3 linked regions of the Drosophila melanogaster genome follow. The protein of the gene in region 1 interacts with the protein of each later gene in a pairwise test. Each region holds a gene or a part of one and is shown in the gene's direction. Other genes may lie near its edges.

What was found. Proteins that work in one complex are often made in the same cells at the same time.
Region 2: the proteins of knon (region 1) and eca interact in a two-hybrid assay, tested with the Drosophila melanogaster proteins (one large-scale study listed by BioGRID).
Region 3: the proteins of knon (region 1) and p24-2 interact in a two-hybrid assay, tested with the Drosophila melanogaster proteins (one large-scale study listed by BioGRID).

Annotation. Positions count from the first base shown.
Region 1 is NT_033778.4:16,496,321-16,501,316, reverse strand, and holds knon (knotted onions), read left to right. Parts: upstream 1-1,887; 5' UTR 1,888-1,967; coding exon 1,968-2,131; intron 2,132-2,297; coding exon 2,298-4,338; 3' UTR 4,339-4,428; downstream 4,429-4,996.
Region 2 is NT_033777.3:9,683,969-9,687,185, reverse strand, and holds eca (eclair), read left to right. Parts: upstream 1-1,709; 5' UTR 1,710-1,806; coding exon 1,807-1,939; intron 1,940-2,001; coding exon 2,002-2,519; 3' UTR 2,520-2,717; downstream 2,718-3,217. Other genes in the region: CG18542 (uncharacterized protein), read right to left, coding at 469-939, 997-1,152, 1,215-1,337; CG9444 (uncharacterized protein), read left to right, coding at 3,203-3,217. UniProt on the Drosophila melanogaster protein: Eca and bai are essential, though not redundant, for dorsoventral patterning of the embryo. Specifically required during early embryogenesis for the activity of maternal tkv, while the zygotic tkv is not affected. Involved in Golgi organization.
Region 3 is NT_033777.3:9,686,902-9,694,303, reverse strand, and holds p24-2 (p24-related-2), read left to right. Parts: upstream 1-1,528; 5' UTR 1,529-1,604; coding exon 1,605-1,737; intron 1,738-1,799; coding exon 1,800-2,401; 3' UTR 2,402-2,561; coding exon of another isoform or gene 2,562-2,679; 3' UTR 2,680-2,758; coding exon of another isoform or gene 2,759-3,139; intron 3,140-3,200; coding exon of another isoform or gene 3,201-3,872; intron 3,873-4,225; coding exon of another isoform or gene 4,226-4,282; intron 4,283-4,428; coding exon of another isoform or gene 4,429-4,982; intron 4,983-5,050; coding exon of another isoform or gene 5,051-5,224; intron 5,225-5,450; coding exon of another isoform or gene 5,451-5,590; intron 5,591-5,682; coding exon of another isoform or gene 5,683-5,768; intron 5,769-6,261; coding exon of another isoform or gene 6,262-6,368; intron 6,369-6,536; coding exon of another isoform or gene 6,537-6,603; intron 6,604-6,666; coding exon of another isoform or gene 6,667-6,842; 3' UTR 6,843-6,902; downstream 6,903-7,402. Other genes in the region: CG32939 (uncharacterized protein), read right to left, coding at 267-737, 795-950, 1,013-1,135; Unc-115b (uncoordinated 115b), read left to right, coding at 2,562-2,679, 2,829-3,139, 3,201-3,872, 4,226-4,282, 4,429-4,982, 5,051-5,224, 5,451-5,590, 5,683-5,768 and 2 more.

The DNA of each region.
Region 1 (4,996 bases):
GCCTCGCCCCCTTGCTACCAAAAATAAATTACATTAAAATTCTAAGCCATCAGCCAGCGAGCTTTGGAAATTTATTTTTCCACATTTTATTCGCCGCTTGCCGCAAAACTCTATTTTCTTCTTCGTGGGGTTAAGAGTTGGGATCCGGGCTTAGCCTCGGCAAAGTTGTAAAGTATCATTCGAGTCAATTAGTTCATTTGCAGCATTTCATTTCGGTCCGTGGGAATTTTGATGAGTTTCATTAAGTTTTGAAATAAATTTGAGCCGAAAAGTGGGTGAGTGTTACTATGACCACTGGGCTTATGGCCATTATTTTGAGCTTAATTTATGTGATTACCTTTTTTTTGCCAGCTTAAATAGATTAAAGGTATTTTAAAAACAAAAAAAAACAGTTTTAAGCATATTAAAGTTACTTAATACGATATTTTATAGAATAAATCCGTTGCCTTATTTATTTAGTGTCTGTATAAATAATGTATAATATAATGTATAAATATCATTTTTTTTCAGCTGTTCAAACATATTTATTTATTCTCATTGAGTTTTTAAATGTATATTTTGGTGCTTGTATTTATTTTCTTTACTTTATCCCATCCAGGCCAGCCCACATAGAATCCTTGGCCCAGCTTGCACAGGTATGTCCTTTTCCACACACACTTACATAGATGCGATTGTGTACATGTACACTCTCAAACAATCACATACACGATGAATTTTATTTATATTTCATAGGAACATAGGATTTCAGATAACATGAACTTTAGAGATCTAAAGTTAGGTAACTTACTTGATATTGTTAATCTGCCAGTTCTGCGAAAATGTTTTTAAACCATTTATTCTATTGTTTAGTTGTTGGTTAGGATGAATGAAAAAATGTAAACACACTTTTGTATGGTACACACAAACACGCGAAAAGGAACATGAACACAGATGAAGTTAAGTTGACTGTGGGCTTATTTGTGTTTATAGATGGGTGCCAACGTAATCACAACCATTGTTCACTATTTGGATTCATAAATCTTAAGTTTCACTCGAGTTTTAATTATTTTAAATGCGAAAACACAGAAAAATAGGCATACAAATTTACAGACGCTCGAATTTTGCTGTCAAACGGAGCAGACAATCTCTTGCTCTCTCTCTCGCCGTTCCTCTTTCCATGCGTTTCGTCCTGCGAGAGCGAGGCAGCTGTTCGAGTCCTGTAGGGAAAGGTCCTTGTTGGTGGTGAGAGGACATTCGCAACTGTCAAAATGACAGCGAAACATTCACAGAGCGCAGGCGCATGTTTCGTTTCGTTCCAAAACGTTTAAAGGAGCATATCCTGCGATTCCAGCAGGGGTTGCAATTCGCACACCCTCTCTCGCACCATGATTCTCTAGAGAAAGAGAGTGAGAGGGAGAGAGAGAGAGAGCAGACGACAATTACCTGAAGAATTGGCATTAGCCCATTTTCGTTGCGTTATAAATTGCGTTTGTCACTTTGGAGCATTCGCAGACTCGAGAGGTCCCAAACACATACGCATATCCTGGGTGTGATTTTACATTTCCACCCACTCCACCCACTTGGCAATGCCACCCCAAAAATACCCCATCTCCATGCAATTACATTTAACTTTCCTTGAGCAGTCTGCTGGGTTGGAATTAATTTTCGATTTTATTGTCAGTTAGTCAAACCCACTTGCTTAGCTGTCGCTGCGCCTGACTCTGATTTAATTGAAACTGCATGAATATGCAATTTCGGGCTATAAATTGAAATCTCGATTTCTCCGCCCACCCCGTTTTTTTTTATAGCCTTTTGGAATTTTCACTTTTAATGGCTCTCAGTTGGCTCCTTAGGAGTTTTCAACACACACACACACACTACGCACTCACATATTTGTACAAGTTATAGAACAGACTGGAGGCCAATGTGAACACACCTGAACATACACATATATAAATCCATAAAAATACTGCTAAAGAATCCGAAGGATGTGGGAAAAGCTGGTGAACTGCATCAAGAGCAATGGTGGCAATGGTGGCGTCAAGAATGTAAGCTGCCAAGTTGTCGAACTGGCGGATCTGATGAAACAGGTGCCGCCGAACCAGATGCACAAGTTCAAAATGTTTGCCAAGAAGCACGAGGAGTACAAGGAGTAAGATGGGGTCACCAAAAACAGGGAATTGGGGTCACCTGGGGGAGCATGAATTAAGTCTACCTTAGAAGGGCAGGGTCTTTACTAATTATTTAGGTTACAGCTTATGTTGCTTTATATGAGAATTATTTCCCATTGTAGAGAATAATATAAATATATTTTATAGCCGCGTTCGTAAGTATCCGGAATCGATGCCGACAATCGACTGGGAATACTACCGTCAGAATGTGAGAGAAGAGTTTGTCGATTGGGTGAAGGGATACGAGACCAAGTATGATAAATTGCATTCCGTATTCGAGAATCGACATGCCATAGTAGATCACAAGCGATACTTTGAACTCGTCGATGAAGAAAAGAAGGTGGTGACAAAATGTATTAGCGAATACAAGGCGGAGTCGGATAAAAGAATCCAGGAGCTAACCGAAAAGTTGGAGTTCGTGAAGGCAATGCGACCCTATTCCGAAATGACCATGGAGGAATTTTGTTTTGCCCGTCCGCACTTGGCACCCGATTTCATCAACAAGCCCACTTTCTGGCCACACACTCCTGAAGAGCAAATGCCAGGTCCATCGGATCCAGAGGCAGCAGCTGCTTTGCATCACGAAGAGGAGCCCGAACCGCCAAAGAAACCAGCTCCCGAAAAGTTACCAGATAAGCCTAGTGGAGAAGGAAAGCCTCCGGCGGCTGCGGCTCCAAAGGAGCCAAAAGAACCCGTTGTCGACACCTCTCAGTTGGCCGAAAAGGCCACTTTAATCGCCAAAGATTTGATGGCCAAAGCTATTGTTCTTTTTAATAGTCTTAAAGAAAAGATGTCGGGTCTGGCCAAGAATGTTCAGAAAAAGGCAGACGCCGCCAAAGCTGCGCGTTCCGAAACTGCCAGCAAATCCGCAACGCCTACAGCCGCACCAACCAAGTCACTGGACAGCATTACGGAACGAGAGTCTGGACCGAACATCTGCAACCAAACTATAATACGCAGCGAGGAGGCAGAGGCCAATCCGGAGGTTAAGGCCAGGCATACTAACCTTTCCATTGAGGCGGATCCTTGCGATGCCCAGGAGGAGCGAGCCAGGGAGATAGCTAGGACATTGGAGCGCAAGAGACAATTAAAAGAGGCGGAGGAATGGGAGAAACACAAGACCAAGAAAGATCCTTGTGACGCCGAAAAGGAAACTGATCCTTGCAAGCTCATGGAAGAGGAAACCGTTTGCAAGCCAGATCCTTGCAAAGCGAAAGAGGAAGAAGCAGTCTGTAAGCCAGATCCCTGCCAGCAGAAGGAGAAAGAAGATGACATTTGCAAGCCCGATCCTTGTAAGCCGAAGGACGAAGAGGGCTCCTGTGAAGATGAGGAGGATCCTTGCAAGAAGAAGCCGAAATGCGATGGTGATTACCAATTCGGTGGTGACAATGAAGGCGGTTCGACAAAATCGAAGCAGCAGGACCAGGTCTTCATCAACATATCCGAGTGCAGTAAGGAACTCGCCAAGCAGGAAGAAAAGAAATCTGGTGATTCGGGTAAGCCCAAGGAAAAGGCATCACTGTCAGAAATTCCACAAGGATCAGATCAAAAACCCGTGCTTGGCATGCAGATAACAGAATCCAAGGACTCTAAAAAGGATCACAAAGCTAGTATTGAAGGCGCAAATGAAATTGGTCCTGTGTATACAGATCCCAATCAACTTGCAGAGCTGCTAGTCCAGAAAAAGGAAAAACCAGTTATAATTGAAGAAGCACAGAAGCCCGAAGATGACAAACCAATTACCATATATCCCAAGCTAGAGATATCAGCCAATCCGAAGGGCGATCAAGTCAAGCAAGAAGCTGAAGGACAAAAGTCACCCAAGGATATGGCCAAGCAGGTGTTCACAATGGCCTCAGGAGCTGCTACTCTACTAACAGAAGCCACCAACACACTGGAGGACTTGAAGAGGAAGAAGGAGGCTCGTCTGGAGGCACTGGAACAGGCCTACACTTCGGCCCAAAGGCAGGCCCAAGGAGCTCTGGCCGAGGCATCGAAGGCCGTGGAAGCCGCCAACAATTTGGCCATAAGATCTGCCGAACAAACTGGCGAAGTGAGCAGCCGAGATCGCGAGGCATTGGAAATGGCCGAAAAGCATGCCATTTTGGCCAAAATGCTGGCCGGACGTGCAGTGGCCTTGAAGGACGAAATCGCTCGAGTTCTCAAGGATCTTAAGAAGAAAAAGTAATCAGCACAAACACTATTTCGTAATAATTTTCTACCAATTTGTGTTAGTTGTTTTTCGTATTAAATTTTATGTTACATTTGTTTACCGTTCAAAGTTTCGCTTTCATTTGATTTCGAATCTCGTTACGTTTGTTTTCATGCAAATTTTTTTCCAGGCCAGCTTTGCTGACCAAAAAGTTGGTTGGTGGGCATGGGCAATAAATTTATTCTTTTCCACTAGCTTCGCTTTGCTGTTACGGCTAAAAAGTTTTCTATTTGGATTTTGCAAGCGAAATGAGTGTGAGGCGTTTGTAGATTGCATAATTATGCTAATTTTGTTGTTTATCCACCCGCCAAGTGTAAAGGGGTATAGTGTGCGGATATGAAAAGGTGAGTTTACAGAATTATCAAACCTGTTTTTACATCTCTGTATGTGTTTACTAAAAAGTGCATTTGTATTGATTGTTTTACAATAATTGAAGGTGAGTTTATCCTACCTTATCACAATCTTACCTGTAAAAAAAGCAGGGTATAACCAAGTCAAACTAGTCCACTTTTTAGTTTCTCCATTTTGTTTGGCATTTCAAAGCAGCCGTTCGAAAAGTGTTGCCTACATTTTGGCGCAGGGTTTTCGCAATCAAACACATTTGCATAATTAGCTGGTCCTGCTTGTGTAAGTG
Region 2 (3,217 bases), on another chromosome or scaffold:
AGATGTGTGGCATCAAATTTACGCTAAATCATTACGCAAATTTTATTTATTACTAAATATTTTATTTATTTATTTAAATAGAATATGTCAAAGAATAAACCAGAGATAATAAAACAGGACAAAAGCAGTGTCAACGTGTTTACAATTATTAAAACTTCGAGTGTGGAGATTATAAAGTTTCTTCTTAATCCTAGACGGAATTTACTCTTTGTCGAGCCGACAACGGCTAAAGTCTGTCGACATGCAGGAATGTTTGTGGAGTATTAGCTTACTATATATTGGCTAAACTGGCTTTAAACATTGTCGAATCGATAAAGAAACGCCATCAAGGGCATAATTCGGTGTGATTTGAGTTCGGGACGCAATATGTGACTGGAATGTAAAGTTCACAGAATAAATACGTAAATATTAAATAAGATTCCACAGAATCCATTTATCTATCATCTATATTGCACCATTGGTAACGCACTAGTTTTGCTTGTGCAAAGCTGCTCCGTCGGTACGTAACCCATAGGTCAGCTGGGTTTTCATCACTGCCAAACTGCTGCCAATGATCTTTTTGTGGTAGATCTGCCGCGTAACGAACCCAAAATCATCATAAAAGTCGCGCTCACTTTCCTGCCACTCGGAGATAGTGCACTCCAGTGAGGCGTACCCGCCGATAATGCAGTTCTTGACCACCAGTTTTATCATGGGGTCCATGATCGTCTGACACGGGTAATGGGGATCGATGGCAAAGCGATAGATCCATGCAGCATTGTATACGGCGTGGTGATTCTTCACACTAATAGCGGCCACAATCCTGCGCCGGAATTTCCTCGTGTATGTTTCCTCGTATGGACAGTTCTCGGTAAATATCTGGTAGCTAGCTTCCTTCGGTGAGCAGCGGAAAATGAAGGGTTCATAGCACTCGGCCACCAAAGACTGCGATGGTTTGGTCTGGAAAGTAAACGTTCTTAGTTTGAGATACTTTGCTGCCGATGCTTTAACACTTACCCTCATCAACTCCACTGCCTTGGAGTAAAACGAGAAGTAGGTGCCGGTAAATAGGCAAAATATGCAAGCGGGCACAGTGAGTGCACAAAAAAGCAGGGGCACTCCCAGAAATATGAAGAATATGGCCCACGTGATGACTATGAACTGCAGGGTGATCTGAAAAAAGTTGAAATCCAAATAGTTCATAGAGTTTGGGGATCTAGATAAAGATGTCTCACCTCTCGAAAGCAATAGACAAAAAAGGACTTATTCGAGAACGACATGATGTAGTCCCGCACCAGCTCCTGGCACTTGAGCTCATCATCTTGCGTGTAGTTGCGAATGACAATAAATGGCTGCATTAATGTGTTATTAAATTATTAGATAAGCCGAACCAAAAAAAAATAAAAACACCGATCAATCAGTGTGTCCAAAGCGATGCAAAATCCACTACTTCTTATGGCAAAACAGCTGTTGCTGCGGTGTTGCCACTCGAGACAGATATCGGCAAAGAGAACTCAAGACTGATAGCGTGAGAATAACTATCGCAAGAAGTTTATTTATTAGATATAATATTTTACAATGTTTGAAAATTAGTCTTCAACTCTTATTTTTTAAATGTACACCTGTTTGAATAACTATTTTAATTTATCGTTTGTTCCATTTATTTAAAAGAATCGCTTTCGTGAGCTTGCCGTGAGCTAGCCCAATCACGGTGCCATCTCTCATGCCAAACACTCTGACTTTGATCTGGCACTTTTTCTCATGACGTGTCGGCGAGCTTAACTTTATTAAAGAACTACTCGAAAAAGTCACTGCAAATAGCCGAAAATGCGCGACCAATTCATCAGCCTGGCCCTGATTCTGTGCGTCCTGCACAGCGCCTGCGGCTTGTACTTCCACATATCGGAGACGGAGCGCAAGTGCTTCATCGAGGAGGTTCCCGACGAGACAACTGTGATTGGTGAGCCAGAGCCTAGTGCCAACTTGGAAGTTTTACCAATCGACTAACTTGTCCTCCTGCAGTTAACTACAAGGTAGAGCTGTATGATCCGCGCTCTAATGGATTCATGCCCTCGTCGCCCGGAATCGGCATGCATGTGGAAGTACGCGACAGCGACGACAAGATTGTGCTGTCCCGCGTGTACAGCTCACAGGGCCGCATCTCGTTCACCTCGCACACTCCTGGCGAGCACGTCATCTGCATGTTCTCGAACAGCACCGCGTGGTTCAGTGGTGCCCAGCTGCGTGTTCACCTGGACATCCAGGTGGGAGAGCACGCTATCGACTACGCCCATGTGGCGCAGAAGGAGAAACTGACTGAGCTGCAGCTGCGCATCCGCCAGCTACTTGACCAGGTGGAGCAGATCACCAAGGAGCAGAACTACCAGCGATACCGCGAGGAGCGGTTCCGTCACACCAGCGAGAGCACCAACTCCCGCGTGCTCTGGTGGTCGCTGGCCCAGACCGTCGTCTTGGTTTGCATGGGCTTCTGGCAGATGCGTCATCTCAAGAGCTTCTTTGAGGCCAAGAAACTGGTGTGAGGTGCTCCGGGGCTAGGGCATCATCAGCACCACTGGCCAACCACTGGCCTCATTGTTCCGTGTGTTTCCCTCATTTGGCAGGAATTGCGAATTTCATCGATGGATCGTCATCCACCCAACCAGCCACTGGCCTCGACTCCAAGCACTTCTAGTTGTAATTTCTTGTGCGTAATTTAATAAAATCCATTGTACAAAACGAGACCGAGACTGTGTGCACCCCCACATCCTATCTTCGCTGGGTCAGACTGCCAGTCAGCTGAGCCGAGTCCCGTGACTATGTTTGCCTCACCAAGCGTGGCTTGTTCTTATCAGTAGGCTGTGACAGATAACCTGTGTCGTTGGCGTTAACTCCCTAGTTTTAAGACCGCGGTCCATCGTAACTGCATCGAGCAGCATCGTGTCGTGACTGCCCTTTATCTCATTGTTTGTTCTGTCGGAGAAGAGACTTTTTAGTAGCTCTTGGACCGCCCCGAGCAGCGGTCGTCAGTCGCGGCACAAATCCGACGTCCAAAACAATACAGCTTGTTGTGGCACACCAAACGCGAACGCTTACGACCCACAAAAGCCGCAGCTCTGTAACCCGATCCAGTCTGAAGCGCTTTCAAGTCAACAACTGGCCTAGGTCTCTGCTCCCTCTCCGGTTCAGTTGGTCTACGTCGGATTAGGCGTGCAGGCTGTTGAAAATGTTTCGCGCTACG
Region 3 (7,402 bases), on another chromosome or scaffold:
TACTCTTTGTCGAGCCGACAACGGCTAAAGTCTGTCGACATGCAGGAATGTTTGTGGAGTATTAGCTTACTATATATTGGCTAAACTGGCTTTAAACATTGTCGAATCGATAAAGAAACGCCATCAAGGGCATAATTCGGTGTGATTTGAGTTCGGGACGCAATATGTGACTGGAATGTAAAGTTCACAGAATAAATACGTAAATATTAAATAAGATTCCACAGAATCCATTTATCTATCATCTATATTGCACCATTGGTAACGCACTAGTTTTGCTTGTGCAAAGCTGCTCCGTCGGTACGTAACCCATAGGTCAGCTGGGTTTTCATCACTGCCAAACTGCTGCCAATGATCTTTTTGTGGTAGATCTGCCGCGTAACGAACCCAAAATCATCATAAAAGTCGCGCTCACTTTCCTGCCACTCGGAGATAGTGCACTCCAGTGAGGCGTACCCGCCGATAATGCAGTTCTTGACCACCAGTTTTATCATGGGGTCCATGATCGTCTGACACGGGTAATGGGGATCGATGGCAAAGCGATAGATCCATGCAGCATTGTATACGGCGTGGTGATTCTTCACACTAATAGCGGCCACAATCCTGCGCCGGAATTTCCTCGTGTATGTTTCCTCGTATGGACAGTTCTCGGTAAATATCTGGTAGCTAGCTTCCTTCGGTGAGCAGCGGAAAATGAAGGGTTCATAGCACTCGGCCACCAAAGACTGCGATGGTTTGGTCTGGAAAGTAAACGTTCTTAGTTTGAGATACTTTGCTGCCGATGCTTTAACACTTACCCTCATCAACTCCACTGCCTTGGAGTAAAACGAGAAGTAGGTGCCGGTAAATAGGCAAAATATGCAAGCGGGCACAGTGAGTGCACAAAAAAGCAGGGGCACTCCCAGAAATATGAAGAATATGGCCCACGTGATGACTATGAACTGCAGGGTGATCTGAAAAAAGTTGAAATCCAAATAGTTCATAGAGTTTGGGGATCTAGATAAAGATGTCTCACCTCTCGAAAGCAATAGACAAAAAAGGACTTATTCGAGAACGACATGATGTAGTCCCGCACCAGCTCCTGGCACTTGAGCTCATCATCTTGCGTGTAGTTGCGAATGACAATAAATGGCTGCATTAATGTGTTATTAAATTATTAGATAAGCCGAACCAAAAAAAAATAAAAACACCGATCAATCAGTGTGTCCAAAGCGATGCAAAATCCACTACTTCTTATGGCAAAACAGCTGTTGCTGCGGTGTTGCCACTCGAGACAGATATCGGCAAAGAGAACTCAAGACTGATAGCGTGAGAATAACTATCGCAAGAAGTTTATTTATTAGATATAATATTTTACAATGTTTGAAAATTAGTCTTCAACTCTTATTTTTTAAATGTACACCTGTTTGAATAACTATTTTAATTTATCGTTTGTTCCATTTATTTAAAAGAATCGCTTTCGTGAGCTTGCCGTGAGCTAGCCCAATCACGGTGCCATCTCTCATGCCAAACACTCTGACTTTGATCTGGCACTTTTTCTCATGACGTGTCGGCGAGCTTAACTTTATTAAAGAACTACTCGAAAAAGTCACTGCAAATAGCCGAAAATGCGCGACCAATTCATCAGCCTGGCCCTGATTCTGTGCGTCCTGCACAGCGCCTGCGGCTTGTACTTCCACATATCGCAGACGGAGCGCAAGTGCTTCATCGAGGAGGTTCCCGACGAGACAACTGTGATTGGTGAGCCAGAGCCTAGTGCCAACTTGGAAGTTTTACCAATCGACTAACTTGTCCTCCTGCAGTTAACTACAAGGTAGAGCTGTATGATCCGCGCTCTAATGGATTCATGCCCTCGTCGCCCGGAATCGGCATGCATGTGGAAGTACGCGACAGCGACGACAAGATTGTGCTGTCCCGCGTGTACAGCTCACAGGGCCGCATCTCGTTCACCTCGCACACTCCTGGCGAGCACGTCATCTGCATGTTCTCGAACAGCACCGCGTGGTTCAGTGGTGCCCAGCTGCGTGTTCACCTGGACATCCAGGTGGGAGAGCACGCTATCGACTACGCCCATGTGGCGCAGAAGGAGAAACTGACTGAGCTGCAGCTGCGCATCCGCCAGCTACTTGACCAGGTGGAGCAGATCACCAAGGAGCAGAACTACCAGCGATACCGCGAGGAGCGGTTCCGTCACACCAGCGAGAGCACCAACTCCCGCGTGCTCTGGTGGTCGCTGGCCCAGACCGTCGTCTTGGTTTGCATGGGCTTCTGGCATCTATTTAACCTGTTCCACACTTGTGTGTACATTAACGAGCAGTGTTTGTGTGTGTGCTGTCTTTATATAAAGAAAATATCTGCCCTTGGCCTTATCAATGATAAGATTAATGGCTTGCCAGACCCGTGAGTCAGACTACAAACGACTTACGGCCATGTCGGGGTGTGTAGAAGAGTTGGCCTGGTTGTGACTGTCAATACAAGTGCTTACATAGGCACACAAGTGTGGGGGAAACAACGCACACACACATACAACGAATCTCGCAACATACGATATACGATAAGTTGTGATGTATATATTAATATATATATCCATTCCGAAACATCCACAAACAGACAAGACCAGACCGATATACCCTAGCACATTGGGAACGGAGCTTCGAACTGAGCTCGGTAAAACGGGGCAAGGTTGGGGCATTATCGCATCACATGCATATGACATCAGCGCAACACTGCGTATACGTAATCTGGCGATAGTACTGATTGAATGAATTTAATGTCAGGCTCTACTAACCGTAGTTCTCCCTTCGTTTTCGTCCCCTTTTCCCCGCAAACAGGTAAACAAAAAATCTACTGTGCGAAATGCACGAAGAAGTGCTCCGGCGAGGTGCTCCGCGTGGCGGACAACCACTTCCACAAGGCCTGCTTCCAGTGCTGCCAGTGCAAGAAGTCCCTGGCCACCGGCGGATTCTTCACAAAGGACAACGCCTACTATTGCATACCGGACTATCAGCGGCTGTACGGCACCAAGTGCGCAAATTGCCAGCAGTATGTGGAGGGCGAGGTGGTCAGCACCATGGGCAAGACCTATCACCAGAAGTGCTTCACCTGCTCCAAGTGCAAGCAGCCCTTCAAGTCGGGCAGTAAGGTGAGCTGAAACCCTCCACAGATCGAGTGATAAGTAACTAATCACATATTCCTCCTCACAGGTGACCAACACCGGAAAGGAGGTGCTTTGCGAGCAATGCGTCACGGGTGCTCCAGTGTCGCCCAGTCGCCAGGCGACGGGTGGAGGCGTCTCCTCGCCAGCTCCTCCGGCGGAGAGTCCGACGAGAGCCACTGCCCACCAGCAGCACGGCAGTGTGATCTCTCATAAGGCGCACCTCAAGGAGGACTACGATCCCAATGACTGTGCCGGCTGTGGGGAGCTGCTGAAGGAGGGCCAGGCACTGGTGGCGTTGGACCGGCAGTGGCATGTCTCTTGTTTCCGGTGCAAGGCCTGCCAGGCGGTGCTCAATGGGGAGTACATGGGCAAAGACGCGGTGCCCTACTGCGAGAAGTGCTACCAGAAGGGATTCGGGGTGAAGTGTGCCTACTGCAGTCGCTTCATTAGCGGCAAGGTGCTCCAGGCGGGCGACAACCACCACTTCCATCCGACCTGTGCCCGCTGCACAAAGTGCGGCGATCCCTTCGGCGACGGCGAGGAGATGTACCTGCAGGGCAGTGCCATCTGGCATCCGCGATGCGGTCCGGGTCCCTCCGAGTCCGGCATAATTTTGAACGGCGGCGGAGGCACTTCGTCGGTGGTCGGAGGTGCCTCCAATGGCAACTTCACAGACACTGAATGCGACCGGATGAGCTCCAGTGCCCTTAGCGAGATGGTAAGTAGTCGGATCTACAGATGATAAACCGCTGGTACTGAGATAATTCTCGAGACTCCAACACAACAATCCCGAGTTTAAAGAGGCTGCTGAGCTTGCAACTAATTTGAATGCTGCAAAATTCACGAAAGGCACACGCATTTAAAATCAAATTTCATACTAGAATGGGTGATATTTTAGAACTATTTTAGAACCTTATATATTATATTTATATAGGCACCCTGAAAATATCACCCATCTCAATTTACCACCCCCTTTTTGCACCTACACACAGCACTTATGATTTTATAATTTCAGTTACTTGCATTTTAGTTGTTTTGAGCTTGCGTTTTTATTTTTTCGTTCGTTTTCAGTACATCCGCTCCAGAACTCCGAGCTTTAATGGTTCACTTTATTCCTCTAGCCGCAAGGTTTGTTTTATAATTTTACTTTATGATTTCCCCTCATTTTCTGCCATCGTTTTTGAAAATACTAAAACCGAAAAGAAAAACACACGGCACTGCATGTATTTAAACTTTGAAATGAGAGCCCAGGACTAATCCCACTTAATTTGCAGCACTACCGAACGGTGAGTCCGGGTCTGATACTCCGGGAGTACGGACGACCCAATGCCGAGGACATCTCGCGCATCTACACCTACAGCTATCTGACGGATGCGCCGCACTATCTGCGCAAGCCGATCGATCCGTATGACAAGACGCCGCTGTCGCCGCACTTCCATCGGCCCTCCTCATACGCGACCACCGCCAGCAATGCGGGATCCGTGGCCGGAAGCCGCCCGCCGTCGCGTCCCCACTCGCGGACCCGCAGCGCCATGAAGGTGCTGGTGGACGCCATCCGCTCGGAGACGCCGCGTCCCAAGAGTCCTGGCATGAACAACGAGGAGCCGATTGAACTGTCTCACTATCCGGCCGCCAAGAAGCCGCCGCCAGGTGAGCAGCCCAAGATCGAGCGGGATGACTTTCCCGCTCCGCCGTATCCCTACACGGATCCGGAGCGTAGGCGGCGATACAGTGATACCTACAAGGGAGTGCCCGCCTCCGATGATGAGGACGAGAATGTGGAGAATGGCAAGCCGAATGGCAAGGTCAAGAATGGCGAGGAGCAGCAGTGAGTATTGGAATCTCTTGTGCATGCTATGATCCTAGATCCTATTAAATCTCTTCCCAAAAATACAGACGCCTTCAACGCGAAGCCGAACAGCTGGAAAAGCTTAACTCGGGCATCGGATCGGCGATTGCCAAGGACCTCAAGGAGCACGCCAAGTACAGGAAGTGGAAGCAGAACAATTTGGATCCGCGCAACGCATCCAGGACGCCCTCCGCTTCCAAGGAGCCACTCTACAAATTGAGGTAAGATATTGATCGTTATAAGAAAATTGAAAAATGATGATAATGAAAATTGATCGTTATAAGAAAATTGAAAAATGTATCTTCTAGTTCGTGCTCGGTGTATTTTGCACTTGAAGAAATCTATTATTATTTGTTTTAAAAATAGAACGATAAGATAGCAAAACATATGGTTATAGTATATAGTATAGTGTAGTAATACTAATCCTATGACATCTTGATTACACAGATACGAATCGCCCATTGGAGCATCGCCATCGCGCAATCTGGACCACCAGAAGCCCTTCTACGAGGACGAGATGTTCGATCGCTCCACCAGCTACCGTGGCTCGCTTGGCAAATCGCTTGGAAACGCGCCCAGCTACAATGGTAATCCTCTAGAGAGCATTGTCCTAGTTTCGATTTTCAGGCAAATAGCGATTCGATACCGATATTATATATTAGCCCACTTACGTTTATAGCCATACATTCCTACCGATCGCCGCCCAAGCCCGGATACGGATTCAAAACGACGACTCTGCCCTATATACGCAATGGCTTCAGCTCCGTAAGTGCTGCCTGTTGCTCAGATCGGCATAGATCGCATCAGATCCGATCCGATCCGATCAGATCAGATTATATCCTTGGTGCCGGGCTGTCGGTTATGTAGCTTATAGCTTACCCACTACCACACGAACCTATCCGCTTATATGTAATCCCAAAATAGTTACGACGGTATTTGTTTCTTGTTTCTCTCACTTTCCAATGCCGCCACTGGTTTGCTCACCTGGATGAACTAACAACTGTTTCGCATATGTCTCAACTGGTTGGTCTGCTGCTTCATTGCGTGTCTGAAAACCCAATCCCACCCATCCACCCATCCTGCGCCACTCCTAACAACTATGTGTTTGCTATTGTTGCCCTGACACCTGACAACAAATAACTCAAAAAACTAACACCCATCCACACTTGACCAACTAAAACTCGAACATTTGCATCATGAACATATCAACATCACTTGAACACCATCAACATGTACATCTACATCCACATCTGCTCAGTGGTGAGTGCGCTGCGCCATGTGCCCAAGCCAGGATACGGGCTAGCACCACGCTCCCACACATTCAGCTCCACCACATCCGCTGCGGCCACGATGCATGGTGCCACTGTAAGACCGCTTTCGTTGTTGCTATGCCGTAGAGTCCTTTGAGTCCCCGTCTTGTGTTTGGATGCCCGTTGGTATCACCTGTAACTTGCACTGGTTTTTCGTTTATTATTGTTGCATGTGTCCCTCAATTTGATCAGAAAACTAATCCCATGCCCTTTTCGAAAACAGGACTTCTCCTATGGAGGACTGGGCGACAAGACCCACAGCACAGATTTGAGCTGCGGCAAATCGGAGGGTAAGTGAAATATATTTTGAAAACCCGGCTCGGCGAAAGAATAACATAATTCTCCTCTGGCAGCTTCTGTGGACTCGATCACCGAGGGCGATAGGCGAGCTCTGATGGGCGGCGACCTGCCCGCCTCGAGCACTTACTCAGGAGCACTCTCCTACCACTATCCGCAGGCCGGACTCATCCGGCGCAGTCTGCCCAACATGTCCCATTCGATAATTAGTTGCGCTAACGCAAAATTGTAACTGAGAACAACTATATGAAAGGAACATAAAATCCCAATAAAAAACGAAGTGTATACAGACAGATGATATATGAAATTAGTTAAACATTGCATGTCCCCGGCATGTAGGCTTTTTATACGCAGTGCTATGGCAATTTAAACGCAAACATAAACTGGACTCTTTTTCCAAATTACACCTTAATTCAACCATGTAACGGGCTACAGAACCGAGAAATGCATCAAAGAATAAGAAATTAATGTACCTACAGCAGAATCACACAGCAAAATGCGAAACATTAGATGTGTGGCATCAAATTTACGCTAAATCATTACGCAAATTTTATTTATTACTAAATATTTTATTTATTTATTTAAATAGAATATGTCAAAGAATAAACCAGAGATAATAAAACAGGACAAAAGCAGTGTCAACGTGTTTACAATTATTAAAACTTCGAGTGTGGAGATTATAAAGTTTCTTCTTAATCCTAGACGGAATTTACTCTTTGTCGAGCCGACAACGGCTAAAGTCTGTCGACATGCAGGAATGTTTGTGGAGTATTAGCTTACTATATATTGGCT